Linked DNA regions of Drosophila melanogaster. The protein of the gene in region 3 interacts with the protein of the main gene of each other region in a pairwise test. Each region holds a gene or a part of one and is shown on either strand. Other genes may lie near its edges.

Region 1 (4,078 bases), on a different chromosome or scaffold from region 3:
GAACATCAGGAATTGTAGCGTCAGCAGGTACAGCACAGAGCATCCGAATAATATCCGCCAGACGGCGGGATGGGGTCGTGTGAAGGGTCCATTGGGAAATGCAATCACCGAGACGATCAGAAAGAAGAACACAATGCAGAGGAGGCCGGCCCAGAGATTCTCATCCACGTTCGCCTCGTTTCTGTAACGAAAGCGCATTGCTAAATGGATGATCTTGGCTTCCATTAGCGCTACTATTTCAGTCATAGTATTCCTTATCAGCATAGCACGTTTTTCGATGGGGTTTGGGGGTCAATGGCACGATGAAGTGAACGTCGAGTACATTACGTATGTGCCTTAGGCGATTCTACTTTTATATACTGTTCGCTAGACTAGCGCATATATATATAATTTTTTTTATTTTTTTTTTTTGGCTTTTTTAAACCTTCGGCTGTCTGAGTTGACACTTTTGGCAGAGTATTCGTGATATTTTTAAGTGCTTAACCCGTGTACATCAATTGATGTGTGAACTAAGAAGGCACATGGTGCAGATATATGATTAAAAAGTATGATTTCATCGAAAGTTTTTTGGCGATAAGGGACTTAACAGGGTAGTGAAATCCAATCATTTTTGATGAAACGTCAATTATAATTATAAAAAATTTATAAATAATTATAACAAATGAAACCTTTTGAAGATGCTGATACATTGAATAATTGGTTCTATCTCGCTACCAGCCAATGCAAATAAACTATTGTTACTAAGGGGATTTACTACAGAACAGTTATGTAATACTGATAAGGGTTAAGACCAGTACTATAGTTCTAAACGTGCCTCTCATAGTAATCAGTACTGACAGAAATGGATTTACAAACTCTTTCTTATCTAAAGATTCTGTCGGTTCAAGGAATACCCAATATAATATAATATAATATAATAAGATGAAGCTAACGAGCGCACCAAACCCGCATAAACACCCAATGGGTTAACAAGCAAAACTCAACGATTTTTCAATGCTATCTCAGCTGACAAAGGCAAAGTTCTAAGATCGAAATGAATACAAGTGAACCGATTGCGAGCTCGCAATGAAGTTGCGTTGTATTAAGGATCGAATAACCTTCATTGGTTATCACGAAGGGGTTCCCCTGCGGGCTCATGGGCTCATCTACTCACCTGACGAACGCAAAGTACATGACGGCGAGCACCGAAACAGCCAGCAAGGTGATGGTGTGTGGCTTGTAGAAGAAGTCCAGCGATATGTCGTCCACGGGACGTTCGTTGACGATCACAAATGTCTGGGCGATCTCGTCCTTGCGCTTCCTGCGTGCTCCCGCGCTGCTGACACTGCCATCGCTGCCATCCCGTCGCTTGGTGGGCGTGGCAGGGGCACTGGCCGCGCCTGATTTGTAGGCGGGATGATCCCGCTCAGCATCGCCGGCGGAGGAGAAGGAGGTGTCCAGTAGCGCGTCGCCCGACGAGGTCGGGGTGCCACGTGAATTAGTGCGCTTCTTCATCGCCTAACTACAAATTCGATTATCAAATGTAGGCGGGTGGCGTGATGTGGTTGTTGTTAGGTGGTTGGTGGCTCGGAATCGGTTTGGTGGCTAAGTACATGCGGGGACTGAAGGTTGCGCAACATTCGATTCGATTCCACCAAGACTTGCCACTCGGCTCTCCTCGCAGCGGTTTCTATGGCTCCCGGCTCGAGTGACCTCGATTGCTATGGCGTGGGCACGGCTCCTGGATCCTCGACTCGCGTTCGATCGGCGCACGTTTATTTTATCATTTGCCAGCTACCGTCCGTTGTTGTCAATTAACATGCTGCGCGCGGCTTGGACCAATAAAAATCGACACTTGCCGGCGGTGGTGTTGCCGGAGGGTTGAAATGTGTGACTTGATAACAGGGGCGTTGCCAGATGAATAGCGGAACGTTGGGGGTGATCCAGGTATCTTATGATGACAAATATTTTGTATATTTTCAGATCGTATTCGAAAAGCAGTCATCACCCTACTTTATAACAAGATTATATTGTCACTATTTTAGAGTTATATAGCGTTAGTTATATAACTTAGTTCTTTACCTTATTTTTTCTATATAATAACTTTCTAGGCAGCATTTATGGCATTCCCGAGGATAAAATGATTTTTTGTTTACAAACAGTCAAATAATAATGAGGTCACGCATAACATTATTCAGATTGGATATTTCAACATAGTGGAATCCTGGAACACCCCTAATGCTATGACTGTAGCCCTGAACAGCTGATTGCACTTGTTGACTAAAACGCAATCCACGACTTTGCATTGGTTTCGGAATAAATTGCTTTTAAATCGCTTTATAATGCTGGACAAGGTTAAAAATGTTATCGTAGTGCTATCAGGCAAGGGCGGAGTAGGAAAATCCACAGTGAGCACCCAATTATCGCTGGCACTGCGAAAAAACGGATTTAAGGTAAGCCAAACCATTTCACCACAAAAACATTACCGATGAATTTTGAATGGTACTCATATGAACAATCTATTAGGTTGGTCTGCTCGATATAGATCTGTGTGGACCGAGTGTGCCATATCTATTGGGTCTGGAAGGACGGGATATCTTCCAGTGCGACGATGGATGGGTTCCTGTCTATACAGATGAATCCCAAACCTTGGCGGTGATGTCCATTGGATTTTTATTGAAGAACCGTGAGGATCCGGTCATTTGGCGTGGTCCCAAAAAGACCATGATGATCCGGCAGTTCCTCACCGACGTCAGGTGGGATGAGCTGGATTACCTAATTATCGATACGCCACCCGGCACTTCGGATGAGCACATCACCGTAATGGAGTGCCTGAAGGAGGTTGGTTGCCACGGAGCCATAATTGTGACCACACCGCAGGAGGTGGCCCTGGACGATGTACGCAAGGAGATCACCTTCTGCAAGAAGACCGGCATCAATATCCTGGGCATCGTCGAGAATATGAGTGGGTAAGTTATTTGAGTTTGTTAAGCCGCAAGACAGACAACAAAATAGGATTCATTTTAATTTGTCCTCAAAAAATTGGAACTCCAATGCAATGCAACGAGAACGATATCCATCCCTGACTGAAAAGAGTTTTACAAGCTTCTGATAAGCATTTCTACTGTATTTGATGCTGACTAATTGAAAATGCAAATATACATAGATATTAATTGGACGCCTTTGCGTGTCAAGTTTACGGCAGGGCGACACCTGTGGACTTTAACCAGGTGATAATTATCTCATGTTTGACTAAATTATCTTATATTTGATTGTCACAGGTTCGTGTGCCCCCATTGCACCTCGTGCACCAATATATTCTCGTCAAACGGTGGCGTCTCACTGGCCACTTACGCCCAAGTACCACATCTAGGAACTCTGCCCATAGATCCCCGTGTTGGCATTTTGGCGGGCACCACTACGTCCGTCTTGGATGAGCTTCCGGATTCCACGACAGCGGAGGTGCTGACGCATATAGTTGAGAAGTTGAAAACGATGTTGGTCTCCTAAATAAATACCAACATAACAATTTTGTAAATATGATAGCTTGTTTCATTATTCAGTTTATGAATATAACCATTTTCTTCAGGAAACGATTTAATTTGCCATGGTATTTAATTGGTAAACTTAAATAGGGACTCCCATTGTTAAACACATTTTAGCTTTTGTTTAGCTTTGGTTTCTTTTTCTTTATTTTTGTATGCTTTGGAATGAATGTAGTTGATGAGTTTTGGGTATAATAATTTAAAATTATATGAGTGCGAGCGTTTGATATGTAATCACTCTAATGCAACAATTCTGCGTGTGCAGTAATTATAATTTACAATCAAACTAATACTTTCCAATTATAATTAATAACGTATTCCTTAACTGCTTAACTCCTACTGCTAAACCTAATCGCTTTATTTATTGATTTGAGCATAGTTTAAAGATCAAATTGTATGCTTATCTCTGGACTGACGACAAAGTATAGTTTCTTTTCCTAAGTAGTACTATCATGCAGACTTCATCCACTGTTTTGGTATAATTTTTAAGATCAAAAATCAGTCTGCAGGAGGATGGAATTCACACAGAGAAAAAACGAACTGATAAACTGAGA
Region 2 (8,372 bases), on a different chromosome or scaffold from region 3:
AAACTAAAGATTTTCAGACTTCGCTCGTTTACGTTGGCAGTGAAACGTATGTGGGAGAATTCTTCGGGTATTGTTTCCACATCCGGATAAACGGTGACCCGTTTCATCAGTTCCTCGGCTCGCTTCCGTTCGCCCTCGCCGCCTACAATATCCAAAATACTCTGGAAGGCATCGTAGGCTAACTGGCAGCAGACCAAGGTTTTTCCCTCTAGGATTTTCTCGAGGAGCGGTTTTAGCGGCGAGGCTCTTTCCCTTTCCGCCTGTTCGGTGAGCAGAGGTTCCTTGTAGACCCAATTGGCGGATCCGTTGGTGAGCGCACTAACGTAGGCCAGCAATGTGGTCACATCTAGATTCAGTTCGTTCGACGTCGTGGCGTACATATCCAAGTCGGTGTCTGGTGAGTCCAGGGAAGCAGTTTGTACGCCCATTTCCATTAGCTCTTCATGCAGGGAGTCCTCGATTTTGTTGGAGAAGTAGAATACTATCTAAAAGGCAGTATATCAGATGATGAATGCTGTCTAGGGTAGCATACTATTAGGCATTACCTTCGGCCTCTGGAACATGCAGAAACTAAGTTCGCTGGCCTCCAGATAATCCTCCGCCTGGTCGATGACACTTCGGGCTCCGATGCTGACACATCCCCTGGCCGCGTCCTCGACGGACTTCGAGTTCCTGGCTATCACCTTCACCCACTTGAGTCCATTGTTGGCCACGATGTCGACTCTCAGGGGACTATCCCTAGACTCCAGGCGGAATACGGCATTGATGTCGACTACTCCTTGTTGCAAACGCAGAGTTTTAATGAGAAAATCGTAGTAAACAAAGTTACTGCTGGTTATGTGGTGTTCCTTTACGGACCTTGTAGTAATCACCTTGAAGGAAAATGCTTTTACTCAATGTTTTTATCATGAAAAATAGGCAAACAAACCTTATTTAGAAATTTGAGCTCTTGCTGAATTTTTCGCTGTACTTTGCTGACACCAGGCAAATCTTCGAAGTCTTTCAGCGCTTTCTTCAGCTCCTCGCCCAGTTTTACTTTCTTGTGGGCTTCTTCGTAGAGCTTTTCTCGATCCTCTTGCTCCTCCATATTAAAACGTTAGCAATATTTACAAAAATCACGAAATATTTGTTTTTAGCTGTCAGCTGTTTTGAAGAAGCAAAGATGCAATGACATTTCAGGTTTTACAACACTGACAATTCCATGACTGATTAGAGATGTCGCGAATCTGAAGTTGGTATATCGATAGTCAACAAACCTAGTTTACTAAGTAATAATTGATGATTTTTCTAATTAGTCTAATAACATGAGCCAACGCCGCGTAAAAATATACTCAAGTAGAGATCGAATAAACAGAAAAAAATAGTTGGGGACTGATCTATTTATTTTTTTTAAATACCTTTAAAGTTTTCTCCTTAATCATACCTTAATAGCATAGTATTGAGCCCAGCCCTTTAGCCACAATTCGGTGAGTGGTTTTGTTTTCATTTAAGCCCATGATAAAAATTTTTTAAGTTAAAGAAAGATAAAACGATTGATCCAGTACATATTTTTACAGATCCTTGAAATTTTCCATTTTTTCACAGAAAATTGCATATTATATGTTTAGCTTTTGAGGCAGTTTTTGGTATGTGGAACTGGGATTGGCCCATGGCAATTTCCGAATATTTAAATGTGGTATATTTAATAAAGGATAAATTCGATATATCTTGACCAGGATTTTTAGGAAACTTATGATTTCTGCAGCAACAATTTCCAGTAAAATAATTATTTAATTTATAATCAGTCTGAACCGGGCCTATTATCGATAGGAAAATCGACGGCCGCGCACTATCGATAAGTCAAGCCACATTTTATGCACCACCATTTTTACTTTTATAGTTCTTTTACTTTTTGTCGGCGAACAGAGCAGATGTGAAAATGAAGAGTTCTGAGTAATCAGGAAAATTCGAATCCAAAGGCATCGCTGGTGAAATGTGCTAATTCATCCATTTAACCAGCCGAAGGTAAACAAATACACGTGCTAGCACTGATATCTACTATTATTTAAGCGCTTTCCGCACGAAGTATCTCCAGAAATCAGAAATGTCTGTGCTTTGGTCGCATTTGAAGCGTGCTAAACTAAGAATTAAATGCTGCTTACTAGCATCGTTAGGCGACACGACTTTCCATACTGTGGCCATGGTTTTCAAAGTAGTACAAATTCACAAAAAAAAAAATACACCGCCATTCACGTGACTTTTTCCCTTGTCTGCAACTGTACCTAACCTCAACATTGCTTCTCTTGCAGTCGTGGACAAAAGTGAAAGAGTGTAGTGCTCCACCATGTATCTGTACAACCTGACCCTGCAGAAGGCCACCGGCGTGACCCACGCGGTCCACGGCAACTTCTCCGGCGGCAAGCAGCAGGAGGTCCTCCTGTCGCGTGGCAAGTCGCTGGAGCTACTGCGTCCGGACTCCAACACCGGCAAGGTGCACACCCTGCTCTCCACGGAGATATTCGGATGCGTTCGCGCCCTGATGGCCTTTCGACTGACGGGCGGCACTAAAGGTGAGTCTTTCAATTGTAATTTAGTTTTGTACCATCAATTGGGAGTAATGTATTGCTCCTATATAATCTATGTAAGTCGCACAAATCCCTATTGAGGCAACAGACGGCTAGTTGACCCCAGTAAGACCTTTGAACGCGTCTAAGTGCGAGAGAAACCGAAAGACTTGACGTCGCATTTGCCATAAACCAACTCAACGGAGTGGCGAATTGAAACTTCGAGTTACAAAGTCAATAAAATATCATTATAGTCATTAGAAAGTGTTAAATGTATGACCCTAATCTCGAATATCGTTACCTTGCTTTGCAGATTACATAGTTGTGGGCTCGGACTCGGGACGCATCGTGATCCTCGAGTACAATCCCTCCAAGAATGCTCTTGAAAAAGTGCACCAGGAGACGTTCGGAAAGTCGGGATGTCGCAGGATTGTGCCTGGGCAATACTTTGCCATCGATCCTAAAGGAAGAGCCGTGATGATTGGCGCCGTGGAGAAGCAAAAGCTGGCCTACATCATGAACCGGGACACGCAGGCTCGCCTCACGATCTCATCGCCCCTGGAGGCCCACAAATCGAATACACTGACATACCACATGGTCGGCGTGGATGTGGGCTTCGATAATCCCATGTTCGCCTGCCTAGAGATCGACTACGAAGAGGCCGACATGGATCCATCGGGTAAGCATCAACTAGGTGGCGTGTAGACCCTAGAAGGCGCTTTAATTCACAGGTTTAGTGGATCCACACCACGAACACTGACTGTACTTAGTGCCAGATAAATCGTGATCACTGAACCATTGGTGTTGCTGTAATTGCCTAGCCACACTTCACTGATTTGTGACCCACACTTCCTAATCTCAATTGATAACATTTTGATAGTACAATGCTATAGTCCTGTAACTAATCAGTGTCGCATCTATTTGTTCCAGGTGACGCCGCCCAGCGCACTCAGCAAACGCTGACTTTCTACGAGTTGGATCTCGGCTTAAACCACGTGGTTCGCAAATACTCGGAGCCCTTGGAAGAGCACGCCAATTTCTTGGTATCCGTGCCTGGGGGCAACGATGGTCCTTCGGGCGTGCTGATCTGCTCGGAGAACTACCTAACGTACAAGAATCTCGGCGATCAGCACGATATCCGCTGTCCCATTCCGCGCAGGAGAAACGATCTGGATGATCCCGAACGTGGTATGATCTTCATCTGCTCGGCCACACATCGCACCAAGAGCATGTACTTCTTCCTGCTGCAGACCGAGCAGGGAGACATCTTTAAGATCACCCTGGAAACGGACGATGATGTGGTCTCCGAGATCAAGCTAAAGTACTTCGATACAGTGCCGCCGGCAACTGCCATGTGCGTGCTAAAGACGGGTTTCCTGTTCGTGGCCAGCGAGTTTGGCAACCAGTGAGTATCTACAAATCATTCATTTGAGAATAATATGAATGGGTACTAATTGAGGTATTTGTGTAACCCTCAGCTATCTATATCAAATCGCTCATCTGGGTGACGACGATGACGAGCCGGAGTTCAGTTCGGCCATGCCTTTGGAGGAGGGTGAAACCTTCTTCTTTGCGCCACGTGCCCTAAAGAACCTGGTGCTTGTGGATGAACTGCCCTCTTTCGCACCGATCATCACCTCCCAGGTGGCTGATCTGGCCAACGAGGACACACCGCAACTGTACGTTCTTTGCGGACGAGGACCGCGTTCCACTCTGCGGGTGCTGCGCCACGGCCTCGAGGTGTCCGAGATGGCCGTTTCCGAACTGCCTGGTAATCCCAATGCGGTTTGGACTGTGAAGAAACGAGCTGATGGTGAGTGTGTCTGCGGGCATTAATCATGATTCCTAAGCTAAGATTAGACTAAGACTGAAACGTGGCTAATAACTCAACTGGTGCATTGATACAGATCGAGATATAGATTACACCTAGCTTTACGCACGATTCCAAACAAGTCCCACAAGTTATCAACCACCAGTTCTCTCTTATTTCAGGCGCTTAAACACAGACGGCAATATGTGTGAACTATCGAAAAAGACAAGCGATTAAAGAGAATTTCTCTCGTTTGTGTAATTTTAAATTGTCTTTTGTGAAGCGATAGGTAAGGCAACATTTACTGCAGCTCATAAGTCAAACAGATACTACAACTACCACTGCTACTATACCAATGAAAACAGAACAAAAGCTAACTATATTTAAGCCAGTCGGACATTGAACATGATGCGATATTTATCAACCGTGTTTCAGCTGAATTATCCATTGATTACAACTTGATAAACTGATTATTCAATGTCTTGTGTGATACGCAGATCTTTTTCGCTTGCTCGATTCAAACTGAAGTACTCACGTTCCAAGTATTGTTTTGCTCCCCTATTTTTTAGACGAGTTTGATGCCTATATCATCGTGTCCTTCGTGAATGCCACCCTGGTTTTGAGCATTGGCGAAACCGTCGAGGAAGTCACGGACAGCGGTTTCCTGGGCACCACGCCCACGCTCTGTTGTGCCGCCCTGGGCGATGATGCGCTGGTTCAGGTTTACCCCGATGGCATTCGACATATCCGATCCGACAAGCGTGTGAACGAGTGGAAGGCTCCGGGCAAGAAGTCCATTACCAAGTGCGCCGTGAATCAGCGCCAGGTGGTCATCACCTTGTCGGGCAGGGAGTTGGTCTACTTCGAAATGGATCCGGTAAGCAATTCTACTACTATATTACACTCAACTGTTGACTTCTTGCTCTGATGACAAAAACACGAAAAGAACAATCATGTTGAGACACTATGTGTCCTGCAGTGCTGAGCTTCAAAATCAACCAAAAGCCTTATCCTCGTTTACTTAACTTCACAACTAATGAATACATTTTATGCTTGCAGACTGGGGAGCTGAACGAGTACACGGAACGTTCCGAGATGCCTGCTGAGATTATGTGCATGGCCTTGGGAACTGTTCCGGAGGGCGAGCAGAGATCCTGGTTCTTGGCCGTCGGCCTGGCGGATAATACAGTGCGCATCTTATCGCTGGATCCCAACAACTGTCTCACTCCCTGCTCCATGCAGGCCCTGCCTTCGCCAGCCGAATCCCTTTGCCTGGTCGAAATGGGTCACACGGAGAGCACGACTCAGGGAGGTTTGGATGACGATGCTCCCGCTCAGCGCAGTGGCAACAATAAGGGAACCATTTACCTAAACATTGGCTTGAGCAACGGTGTCCTGCTGAGAACTGTGCTCGATCCTGTTTCCGGAGATTTGGCAGACACCCGAACGAGATATTTGGGTTCCCGACCCGTAAAGCTCTTCCGGATCAAGATGCAGGGATCCGAAGCGGTGCTGGCCATGTCCAGTCGAACCTGGCTGTCGTACTACCACCAAAATCGATTCCATTTGACGCCTCTGTCTTATGAAACCCTTGAGTATGCTTCTGGCTTCTCGAGCGAGCAGTGCAGCGAAGGTATCGTGGCTATATCCACCAACACCTTGAGGATCTTGGCCCTGGAGAAACTGGGAGCCGTCTTCAATCAAGTAGCGTTCCCCTTGCAGTACACTCCACGTACCTTTGTAATCCATCCGGATACGGGACGCATGCTAATTGCCGAAACCGATCACAACGCCTACACAGAGGATACGAAGAGTGCCCGAAAGGAGCAAATGGCGGAGGAGATGCGCAGTGCAGCTGGCGATGAGGAAAGGGAGTTGGCCCGCGAAATGGCCAATGCTTTCATCAACGAAGTCCTTCCCGAGGACGTGTTTTCGTCGCCCAAAGCAGGACTGGGTCTTTGGGCCTCGCAAATCCGTTGCCTGGACGCAATGCATGGTCAGACGATGTTTAGTGTGCCGCTCACCCAAAACGAGGCCATTATGTCGATGGCCATGCTGAAGTTCTCCATAGCGGCTGATGGCCGGTACTACCTGGCCGTGGGAATCGCCAAGGATCTGCAGCTGAATCCCAGGATTTCGCAAGGCGGCTGCATAGATATCTACAAAATAGATCCCACTTGCTCCAGTCTGGAATTCATGCACCGCACGGACATTGACGAGATTCCTGGAGCCCTGTGTGGCTTCCAGGGTCGTCTACTAGCTGGCTGCGGTCGAATGTTGCGAATCTACGATTTCGGCAAGAAGAAAATGCTGCGCAAATGCGAGAACAAGCACATTCCCTATCAGATTGTCAATATCCAAGCCATGGGTCATCGTGTTTACGTGTCGGATGTTCAGGAATCAGTATTTTTCATACGCTATCGTCGCGCGGAGAACCAGCTGATTATATTTGCCGATGACACGCATCCTCGATGGGTGACGGCCACCACCTTGCTGGACTATGATACCATAGCCATAGCCGATAAGTTTGGCAACCTGAGCATTCAGCGATTGCCCCACTCCGTAACGGACGATGTGGACGAGGATCCAACGGGCACCAAGTCTCTGTGGGATCGTGGCCTGCTGTCAGGTGCTTCACAGAAGTCGGAGAACATTTGCTCCTTCCATGTGGGCGAGATAATCATGTCGCTGCAGAAGGCAACGCTAATTCCTGGAGGATCGGAAGCCCTTATATACGCCACGCTAAGTGGCACTGTTGGAGCATTTGTTCCGTTCACCAGTCGCGAGGACTACGACTTCTTCCAACATCTGGAGATGCACATGCGCAATGAGAATCCTCCACTCTGTGGACGCGACCATCTCAGCTACAGGAGCTCGTATTATCCGGTCAAAAACGTACTCGACGGCGATCTCTGCGAGCAGTATCTGTCCATTGAGGCAGCCAAGCAGAAGAGCATAGCTGGCGACATGTTCCGCACTCCCAATCAGATCTGCAAGAAACTGGAGGATATTCGCACGCGATACGCCTTCTAAGGTGAGTTGGAATCGATATGCCTATGGGACATAGGTTTTTGTGATGACATAGCTATTTTACCTTGGGACACCTATGAAATGCCTTGATTAGCGTAAACGTCAATATCTGATAAATACTTTGCTGAATTTAGTCTTTTATGATTATTGAACAGAAAGCTAACAATTGTTTATATTTTGCAGATGCCAGCAAAGGAACACTTCAATATCATGGAAACTTTTCTTTTTTAACTAGGTAAGTTGGTTTCTATTTATAGTTGTTTTCAATGATGATTTTCGAGTTTTACCTTGGGACACCTATGAAATGCCTTGATTAGTGTAAAGTTATGTTTTTCTGATAACAAATTCAAGCGTTTATTGATTGAAAAGCAAAGAAATGTTATTAATTTTGTATTTCTCTTTCTATTGCAGTTTTCGTGGGCAAAACCAACAAACGCTGCACCTAAAACGTTTTAAAGGTAAGAAATTGTAACGATTAAGCCACATTTTCGTTGAGTTAAACAATGATGTTATTTTACATATGTTAGACTAATGAAATGATTTGATTGTAAATTAGTAACTGAGAATGTTTTTAAAATTAAAAATTTCAATACTTATTTATGATAATTACTGGATCGATTAGTAAATTGATGCTTTCTTTGCAGTTTAATCGGAAAATTCCAATGACCATTAGACCATTACATTAGGAACACTTTCAAGGTACGTAATATATATTTAAACCACTTCAATTTAAATAAGCTCTATGATGTTATTTTACATATGTTAGACTAATGAAATGATTTGATTGTAATTTAGTAACTGAGCTTATAGCTATATTTCACTGTGTTTAGCATTTTAATCGTGGTTAAATCATAACTAATTTCCTTTCTTCACTTGCAGATCTTCTTACGTTGGGGTATGTTGTGGCGCTTAATTCTAACTAAATTATACACTAGGTAAGTGATTAAACAAACAGTGCGCTTTGAATTGAAACTAATTCACAATTTCCT
Region 3 (4,893 bases):
CAGAAACGGCTTGGAACCCTCGATAGAGGCAAAAGCTGGAGGCTATAAAACTCGCACAGCTGAGTTTTATTTTGCACGCGACATTGAATTTGATGAGATGGAAAAATGCATTATTTGCGTAGATAACTTGAGAAAATACAAGTGCAGCAAATGCTCGGCACCCTAGTAAGTAGCTATTCGAACAGTTCACTACGGAGATAATAAATGTCGCAAAATGTAGCTGCTCTGTGGCTTGTTATAAGACACACAGGGATTCGCCCCAATGTGCGACAAGGGAGTCCGACTTGAAAAAGACTGAAGTTGGCTACCAGGAGGAACCTACGCTTCATGTGCCCTTCCCCACCGACGACACAGTTGCCGCGGAGAAGCTCCAGCAACTAGGTAGGTGTTTAAATTCGCAATTATACACATTTCTCATAGTATGATGGTTTCCGTACAGAAAACTGCCAGGAACTGCGTAATTTGCTCCACAATCCACACCTGCGTTCGCTGCTCCAGCAGATTGATGTGGCCATCAATGCCCAGTCGGCCATGATGGCCGCCATGCAGGAGCCACTCTTCGTGGAGTTCGCTAATGCCTGCCTTCAAGTCGTCGAACCGATGACGGATGCTGAGCGCACTGAATTTGAGTTGTACTCCTGAATTAAGTTGACACACAGTCTCAATAAAACTAAGCCTTTATTTTGTAACTAATAGTACTGTCAATCCTTGGCAGCTTCTAGAGGAGCTTGCATTGAAGAACTCCTGGAAACTTCTCATTGAAATCCGCCGGTAAGGTTGAATCTTTTCCATAACCAGGGAAAACGTACAACTAATTATTTGGCTCGGCCATTTAAAGTTATCTATCTCAGCTGGCATATCAAACTAGTCATCAGTCTACAGCTTCGTTCCTTGGCAATCAAACTCAATCAAAGTAAATTGAAACTGGATCCGAGTTAAAAGTGATTTTTGGATGCTTCATGTGCAACTTGAAAAGCCTATGTTCCCCTTGCACTTTCCAGGTCATGGGGATGGGATCCTGTAATGAAAAATATTAGAAACGAAAGCTAATATAAGTTGTGAAATACTTAGACCTCATTAGACATGAGATACGTGTTTAGTTCCACATAAATATTAAGTGCTGTGGTACGGTTTTCTCCCAGTTTCTTCGCATCGAATGTGAACTCCTTAAATCCGAAGGTGCAATGGTATATACCCAGGACCTCGTGTGTGTTTAGGTTTTGTATTAAGGTATGAAACTTAATTTCGTCCACACAAACCGAATTTTGTATATAAAATTCATTGACATTAATGTGAAGATGCTGATACGCATGCATACCAAAATTAGCCACCTTTAGGGTCTTAATAGCCACATTTAAACCGTAAGTTTCACAAAATATGGATGTATTTTGGCTTATCTCGATCATATTTATAGTGCTTCTCTTCGCAGCTATGAGAATCTCTCTCAGAAATCCGTATCTAACGTGACCACAAAGAAATAGCTTCTTCAAGTGAGTTAGACGTTCCAGTTTCGATAGGAACCACACCATCATTTCCTCCTGGAAGCACTGCAGCTGCTCTAGGTTTCTAATCCCTTTCCAGGGCAGTTCTGTGTTCGAAATCTGGTCAATATCGAAGATACCCAGCTTCAGGGATTTTATTTTTCTGGTTTTCAGGATCTGTATCAAGTTGGTGACATTGAATTTGCTGCAGTAGGAGACCGTGAGGTTCTCGAGAAACTCGAATTCATCAAAGTGTTTGCCAGTAAACTTTCCATGGGGGCTAAAAGTTGTCAGATTTGGAAAAGTTTTCAACATTCTTGGCACGTCCGCATCGTTTAAGTTAAACGAATGCGTGGAAAATCGAAAATCTTTAAGTTTTGGAAAACTACAGCTGGTAAGTGTTTCGAAGTTAGATCTATTATTCATTTTGAGCCGCAGAGTGCTGAGGATTTGTTGAGTACTTTCCAGGAAGAATAGCAAATCCTTGTCGCTCAGCTGCATTTCAATCAAGGATATATATGCACATTTGTTATAAGCACGCCACACATACGGCATTAATTTCTTAAACCGGAAATGAAAGTCTTTCAGTTTTAGTTGGGTCTTCAAGTCGAGATAACTTAGAATTATCATTAGAACATCATCGGGCAGACATAGTAAGCCAGGCTTGGTATTCTGCAAAGGGCAAAAGAAATTAGGAAACTTGTATACTTATATTTCTGCTATATTGTTGCATTGCGGTACCATAAGATCGGTGTTTATCATTGTCGGTCTATATTCGTATGTTTAGCTAATATCGAGTCCAAATAAAACAATAAAATTATAACAAAAGTTTTATCAACATTTTTAAAATGATATCTGTTAATTTTGAGTATTTTTGGTGACAGCAGACTGTCAGCTGCGATGTTGGTTAGTCACCGCGTGCTGTAAGCGAATAACAGTGTGCTGTTAGGCGCACGAATCCCTGGCCAGCAAAAACAAACTGCAAAAACAATAATCCCCGGAGTTTTCCATCTGAACGCAAAATAATACACACCAAAACACAGCAAAATGCAGAAGTACGATAAAATGGAGAAGATCGGGGAGGGCACCTACGGCACGGTGTTCAAGGGTCGCAACCGCGACACCATGGAAATAGTGGCCCTGAAACGGGTGCGACTGGACGAGGACGACGAGGGTGTGCCCAGTTCTGCCCTCCGGGAGATCTGCCTGCTGAAGGTCAGTCGGACGAGCAGGAAGTGATTCCAGTTTATAAACTAAATCGGCACATTACCATCCGTAGGAGCTGAAGCACAAGAACATTGTGCGCCTCATAGACGTCCTGCACTCGGACAAGAAACTCACCCTGGTCTTCGAGCACTGCGACCAGGACCTCAAGAAGTACTTTGACAGCCTCAACGGGGAGATCGACATGGCCGTCTGCAGGAGCTTTATGCTCCAACTGCTCCGCGGACTGGCATTCTGCCACAGGTATACCTATATATGTATCAGCACTGGATTAGGTCTTATCTTGTGTCGATTATAGTTAGAATCAAGTGTTATTTGGAGTAACTTCATCTGTGGCACATTTCCGAATGATATCCATTTTATAGCATTGAGACTTAACTTACGCTACATTATCCTATTTTAGCCATAATGTCCTGCATCGCGATCTGAAACCACAGAACCTGCTGATCAACAAAAACGGCGAGCTAAAGCTAGCTGACTTTGGTCTCGCTAGAGCCTTTGGCATTCCCGTGAAGTGCTACTCCGCAGAAGTGGTGACCCTGTGGTACCGACCACCCGATGTCCTATTTGGAGCCAAGCTCTATACGACCAGCATAGACATGTGGTCCGCTGGATGCATTTTGGCCGAACTGGCGGACGCTGGACGACCGCTGTTTCCTGGCTCTGACGTGCTCGATCAGCTGATGAAGATCTTCCGTGTGCTGGGCACCCCCAACGAGGACTCCTGGCCAGGAGTTTCGCACCTCTCCGACTACGTGGCGCTTCCATGTAGGGATTCTAGACGGATTTTATTTATCGATACCAATATTAAAAGCCTATTTATATTATAGCTTTTCCGGCCATCACCTCGTGGAGTCAGCTGGTACCTAGGCTAAACTCCAAGGGACGCGACCTGCTGCAAAAGCTGCTCATCTGCCGGCCAAATCAGCGAATTAGCGCGGAGGCGGCGATGCAGCATCCCTACTTTACGGACAGCAGCTCTTCGGGACATTGAGGTCGGAAGGTTCTTTCCAAGCCACTGTTTTCACGACCTTTGATTAGACTTAAGCCAAAATGCGAGACTTTGTCCAGCAAAGATCTTTTAATTATATATGTATGTCCTTGCAGTAGAGTTCGATTATAGTATAAGATAAAAAGTTCTTTATAATTTCATTAGTTTGATTTACCAAAGCAAAAGGTTTGATTTATGACAATCCCTACCAATGTGACACTTAATATAGCCATTTGAGCTGCCAAATTAACATTTATCGATAAAATACTTATTGATTCAGTAAAATAGTTTTATTCTTAAAAATTTTTATGTTGAGTGTATCGTTAAGATCCGAAAATTGTTCAAATTCCTAGACGATATCTACTGTTTGTGTGAATGTGGAAAAAATATTTGAAATCCTAGTTTCTGTTTTCAAAGACTAAAAACTAGGCAATACATCTGGTTTCCAAATTTAATGAGTGTCGACGATTTTCTTATTACATTTATTGTGTATTTTTAAGAATTTCGATCTTTCTGAATGATATGAGTCATTAAGTAAATTAGAATAAAAAAAATTGAGATGTAACCTAGATTTTTAAACCAATAAAGACACTTACCGCAGCACTACGTCGTCGCAGCATGATGAATATTTTGAAGTGGTCGCCTCAACCCCCGGCACTCAATAGGGGTTAAAGTCGTTCTGCGCACTCGCGAGTTAGAAATTGAGAACTTTACAGATTGAGAGATTTTTTTATTGTGCTACGAATTGCTAACCGAACCGGTCGGATTTCTGAATCTTAAGCACCGAGTACCTCGGAAATTCTTTTATATATATTATTAGACGAATAAACAAGGCTACCTGTGGATCGGATAATTCGCTATATAGTTAATAATCGGAAAACTGTGTTAACCGCGCAGATAAAACAAAAGCTGTTATCAGCAGCAACCCATTTTCTAATATAAATAACAAATAAGTGCTGCAGAAATGACTTGGGGATTTGTAACCTGCGGCCCCAACGAGGCTTTAGTTGTCTCTGGTAAATCACACGATCCTTATATGCTCAAAATAATGTCAAATCGATTAAATAAATAAGTCAGTGAATAAAAATGAAATTGTCACGCACACACACATATATATACACCCCACCCCAAGTGACGTCACTATCGATTTTTGTGTACCGCAAATGTTGTTGTTGGGATAACAGGGGAAGAAGCTGA
Region 4 (3,854 bases), on a different chromosome or scaffold from region 3:
TGTCTGGGATCGACTGCTGCAGTACGTCCATGAGATGAGTCAACGACATGGAACCGTGTATGCCTACACCGGATCAATTTACTTGCCCCGGGAGCTAAAGTCGAACAGTTGGTTCCTGGAGTTCCAGTCGGAGGAGAGAACCATGGTGGCCGTACCCACCCATTTCTTCAAGATCCTGGTCATTGATAAGAAGTTCGCGGGCGATACCATTCCCTATGCGGAGGCCTATGTGATGCCCAACTCTCCGCTGAACAACAATGTCGAACTGAAGACGCTTCTCAGCGATGTCCGGGAAATAGAAAACGCTACTGGTCTACGGTTCTTTGAAGGACTCGACCGCAACTTTGTCAACACCCAAGCATCAAATTCATTTGTCCCCTCAGTAAACGGTCCTTTAACAAATCCGTTAACGTTGCCGATGACTAATGCCTTAGACAGTCACAGTGCCCTCACATCAAGTATTTCTCCAAAATAGAATATAAATACATATATGTTGAAGGAGACAATGATGGCCATGAGAAATCCTTCAGATAAACAATGTTTTATTTGCTTTTGAGGGGTAATTCACAGAGCCCATTTCATGGACCGAAAATGGCAGCTCCTGGGACTGGGTTTCGTCCTGGGAGTGACTGCGCTCTGTGCATCCTTCGTGGGTGGAATGTATTTTCAGCACACAGATGCCAGAAAACGCCTGCGGGAACTAATACAAACGGATCCCTATGCCTACTATCTCAGTCCCAAAATTTATGAAGTGGTAACCAATACTGTAGTAAAAGAATATAAGTAACACTTGCACCAAAATAATTTCCCTAACCAGTTTACTTTCTTTGAGAGCAATAATGAAGACGATCACCGGATGAGGCAGATCATGAAGTTTGGGTTCCCTGGCCTGGATGACTTGCGTCTGTATAGTGACTTCGTACTATCCTACGATCGCCGAAACCGAGTGGCCCACTGGGTGTGCGAGCACCTCCAGGCGGACAGCATACATCCGAATCGAGGCAGACGTGGTCGCAACCCATACCAGCCGGATTTGAGTGTTCCCTCCAACTTCCGATCGGAACTGAGCGACTATCGGAGATCTGGATTCGACCGAGGACACTTGGCAGCCGCAGGAAATCACCATCTGCAACAGAATCACTGCGAGGATACGTTTTTCCTAACGAATATTGCCCCACAAGTGGGCCAGGGCTTCAACCGAAGCGCGTGGAACAACTTGGAACAATATGTTCGAAATCTGGTCCACCGATTTGGATCCGTTTTCGTGTGTACTGGTCCACTATATAAGCCCAATCAAAGACCGGGAGGTAAGTGGGCCGTGGAGTACGAGATGATCGGACTGAATATGGTTGCAGTTCCGACGCACTTCTTCAAGGTGATCATGGTGGAATCAAAACTGCACCTGGGTAAACCCTATATGGAGGGCTATGTCCTGCCCAATGCTCCAATACCAGATGGTCTGCCACTACGATCGTTTCTCTGCGACATCCGGGAGATTGAGCACTACGCAGGTCTCAAGTTCTTCGATGGTTTGAGAAGGAGTGCCCTATTCGGCAGCAATTATCCAAGTGAATCTCGAGTTTTTCGCGAATTCAGTTAGTGGAGGGATCCCAATCGTTAAATATATATTTAACTTAACTGCAAGCAGGCTATCTTCTTCCGACTGACATATCGACAAATTGTTACATTACACACTTCATCAAAGAAACACTACACGAAATTATTGTAAGGCCCACTTATGTCCTTTAGCGAATCAAATGTTCATCAGTGGGCTTTATGTGCCCTTGCGGGAGTAACCGGGTTTGTGTGTGGAGCCTTTGTCCAACAAGAGGCGTCCATAAGGCAGCTGCTCCAGCAGATTCGAAGGGATCCCTATGTCTACCATCATCGTCACAAGTTATATCCGATGGTGAGCGATATGAAAAAGTTAGAAATGTTTGTAAGATTTTAATTCTAATATTTTCCCACAAGTTATCCACCTTTGGGACAGACCATGAGGCCCGTTTGTGGAATCGTCCTACTTCATGGGCCGACAAATTCAGGGAGCTGGTATTATCACCGATCCTCGATTTAGTTAGTGCTACTGTGACGCTGAAATGGGATTCGGCAACCACAACTGATCTGCTCGACCTAGTCAAGTATGGACTGCCCAGCACGGAGAACTTGTACGTCCATAAGGACTACGTGGTTTCGCAGGACCTGCGCACGAACGGCGTCAGATGGATTTGTGAGCATTTCCGTGGGGATTATCAAAGGGTATCGTCGGATGGAGGCGGATATAGCACCATGAATCTTCGCTACAATGATGTGTATGTGCTGAGCTGCGGTTCGATGAGCATATGCAAGGCGTTCAAGCGGAAAATCTGGAACGATCTGGAGAACTACGTGTCCAGCATGGCCAAGGAGTTTGGCTCAGTGTACGCCTACACTGGGCCGATATACACCCCAACATGTTACGAGATTGGCAAATGGACCATGAAGTATGAGGTGTTTGACTGGATTCCGATACCAGTGCCATCCCATTTCTTTAAGGTATTAATCGTGGAGAGTGGAGTTCCGGGATCCCAACCCTTCATGGAAGCATTTATCATCGAAAACAGCCGAAGGGTTGGCGGCAAGTTGAATGACCACCGCGTCAAAGTAGGCGAAATAGAGCGTTACACAGGACTGCGATTTAACAAGATCATGCAACCCGTAGTCCAATTCGGGAAGGACTCATTTACGGTGGACACCAGGGCTTGGGCCGGCAGGTTGGAGGAAATTTCTGAGCCTTTGGTAACATTTCCTCCCGACCAGAAATTAAATTTAATATAAACCCCTGAATGTAAGGAATATTTTGATAAAATTGTGAAAATATACATATTTATTTTAAATGTACTTTGATTATATCTTATTCACTTATTTATTTTAACCCAACGTATTTAATGACGTCACTGCATTCTATTGCACCACCTTACACATAACATAACTCGCAGCTGTTCGCTAACAGCAGCGCTGTTAAGTTCAACACGATTATCGATTCGGCGATGGCAGCCGAAAGAGCACAATCGATTGACATTCGATTTTCCACTGCCGATTACCGATAGCTTACGTGGCAAGGCAAAAAGAGCAAAAAAGATCGAATTAGGGAACTGACGTGGAAGTTCGTTTAGCTCGAAATTATTCTTGTTTTTCAACCAGCGATCGTCCGCCGCGGCCGTCGAGAGTTGAGGCCAACACCGAGTGGCCAAAATCGAGGAGTCAGTGGTCAGGAATCAGGCCGAGCAGCCCCCGAAATTGCTAAATCGCCGTGGCGAACTTTGAGCCAATCCGTGTGTGTTTTCTCTTCGTTTTCCGTGAAAGTTGTTTGTTGGCTTAGCGTCGACCCTCTCCGCTAAAACCCAGGTGATTAATCCGGGCCAGAAATGAATCCGAATATGTACGGGCCACCGCCCACGCAGTTCCAGCAGCAACCCCAGTTTGGGGCTCCTCCTCCGAATTCCGGAGGTTGGCCACCGCAGCAACAACAACTACCGCAGCAGCAGCCGCCGCAGCAACAACTGCCTCCGCAGCAGCAGCAACAACAACCACAGTACGGAGCACCACCACCAACGTCGGCGGCATCCCAGCCTTACCTCAATGGCAACTACCAGCAGCAGGTGAATAGATAGCCTTAACCATGGCAGCTTTGACGAGAATCGGAAGACAATCCGGTTGCACACGTCAAATATATGTGTATTCCCTTCAGCTTCATTCTGGCAATAGCCTATTGAGCTAGTCGATAATAAGAATAGGGTTAGAATCTGAAAAGCATTGCAGAATTACGTTACTCTTTTGAACCAATTGGCCACCTTGATATACAGATATTCAATGGG

Evidence for each region.
Region 1: the proteins of Cdk5 (region 3) and Nubp2 interact in a two-hybrid assay, tested with the Drosophila melanogaster proteins (one large-scale study listed by BioGRID).
Region 2: the proteins of Cdk5 (region 3) and Sf3b3 interact in a two-hybrid assay, tested with the Drosophila melanogaster proteins (one large-scale study listed by BioGRID).
Region 4: the proteins of Cdk5 (region 3) and Tengl3 interact in a two-hybrid assay, tested with the Drosophila melanogaster proteins (one large-scale study listed by BioGRID).

Annotation. Positions count from the first base shown.
Region 1 is NT_037436.4:20,524,333-20,528,410, forward strand, and holds Nubp2 (NUBP iron-sulfur cluster assembly factor 2), read left to right. Parts: upstream 1-2,243; 5' UTR 2,244-2,321; coding exon 2,322-2,432; intron 2,433-2,505; coding exon 2,506-2,948; intron 2,949-3,260; coding exon 3,261-3,489; 3' UTR 3,490-3,578; downstream 3,579-4,078. Other genes in the region: Pss (phosphatidylserine synthase), read right to left, coding at 1-181, 1,154-1,494. UniProt on the Drosophila melanogaster protein: Component of the cytosolic iron-sulfur (Fe/S) protein assembly (CIA) machinery. Required for maturation of extramitochondrial Fe-S proteins.
Region 2 is NT_037436.4:826,892-835,263, reverse strand, and holds the start of Sf3b3 (splicing factor 3b subunit 3), read left to right. Parts: upstream 1-1,878; 5' UTR 1,879-2,004; intron 2,005-2,054; exon of another isoform or gene 2,055-2,202; intron 2,203-2,288; 5' UTR 2,289-2,323; coding exon 2,324-2,549; intron 2,550-2,624; exon of another isoform or gene 2,625-2,777; intron 2,778-2,856; coding exon 2,857-3,222; intron 3,223-3,255; exon of another isoform or gene 3,256-3,394; intron 3,395-3,473; coding exon 3,474-3,948; intron 3,949-4,021; coding exon 4,022-4,356; intron 4,357-4,535; coding exon of another isoform or gene 4,536-4,543; exon of another isoform or gene 4,544-4,642; intron 4,643-4,752; exon of another isoform or gene 4,753-4,827; intron 4,828-4,922; coding exon 4,923-5,230; intron 5,231-5,271; exon of another isoform or gene 5,272-5,412; coding exon 5,413-7,386; 3' UTR 7,387-7,387; intron 7,388-7,420; exon of another isoform or gene 7,421-7,500; intron 7,501-7,566; 3' UTR 7,567-7,618; intron 7,619-7,643; exon of another isoform or gene 7,644-7,727; intron 7,728-7,794; 3' UTR 7,795-7,841; intron 7,842-7,880; exon of another isoform or gene 7,881-7,952; intron 7,953-8,027; 3' UTR 8,028-8,082; and 5 more. Other genes in the region: CG42553 (uncharacterized protein), read right to left, coding at 1-485, 546-872, 929-1,087. UniProt on the Drosophila melanogaster protein: Involved in pre-mRNA splicing as a component of the splicing factor SF3B complex, a constituent of the spliceosome. SF3B complex is required for 'A' complex assembly formed by the stable binding of U2 snRNP to the branchpoint sequence (BPS) in pre-mRNA.
Region 3 is NT_033778.4:15,568,938-15,573,830, reverse strand, and holds Cdk5 (Cyclin-dependent kinase 5), read left to right. Parts: upstream 1-2,413; 5' UTR 2,414-2,528; coding exon 2,529-2,696; intron 2,697-2,760; coding exon 2,761-2,948; intron 2,949-3,108; coding exon 3,109-3,473; intron 3,474-3,535; coding exon 3,536-3,699; 3' UTR 3,700-4,292; downstream 4,293-4,893. Other genes in the region: CG8204 (uncharacterized protein), read left to right, coding at 98-165, 221-381, 440-642; CG30466 (uncharacterized protein), read right to left, coding at 905-1,018, 1,074-2,153, 4,293-4,316; Flo1 (flotillin 1), read left to right, coding at 4,661-4,712. UniProt on the Drosophila melanogaster protein: Probably involved in the control of the cell cycle. Interacts with D1 and D3-type G1 cyclins. Possible regulator of neuronal differentiation and/or development.
Region 4 is NT_033779.5:2,236,092-2,239,945, reverse strand, and holds Tengl3 (testis EndoG-Like 3), read left to right. Parts: upstream 1-1,694; 5' UTR 1,695-1,738; coding exon 1,739-1,909; intron 1,910-1,971; coding exon 1,972-2,814; 3' UTR 2,815-2,870; downstream 2,871-3,854. Other genes in the region: Tengl1 (testis EndoG-Like 1), read left to right, coding at 1-475; Tengl2 (testis EndoG-Like 2), read left to right, coding at 581-754, 818-1,600; Sec24CD (secretory 24CD), read left to right, coding at 3,405-3,638.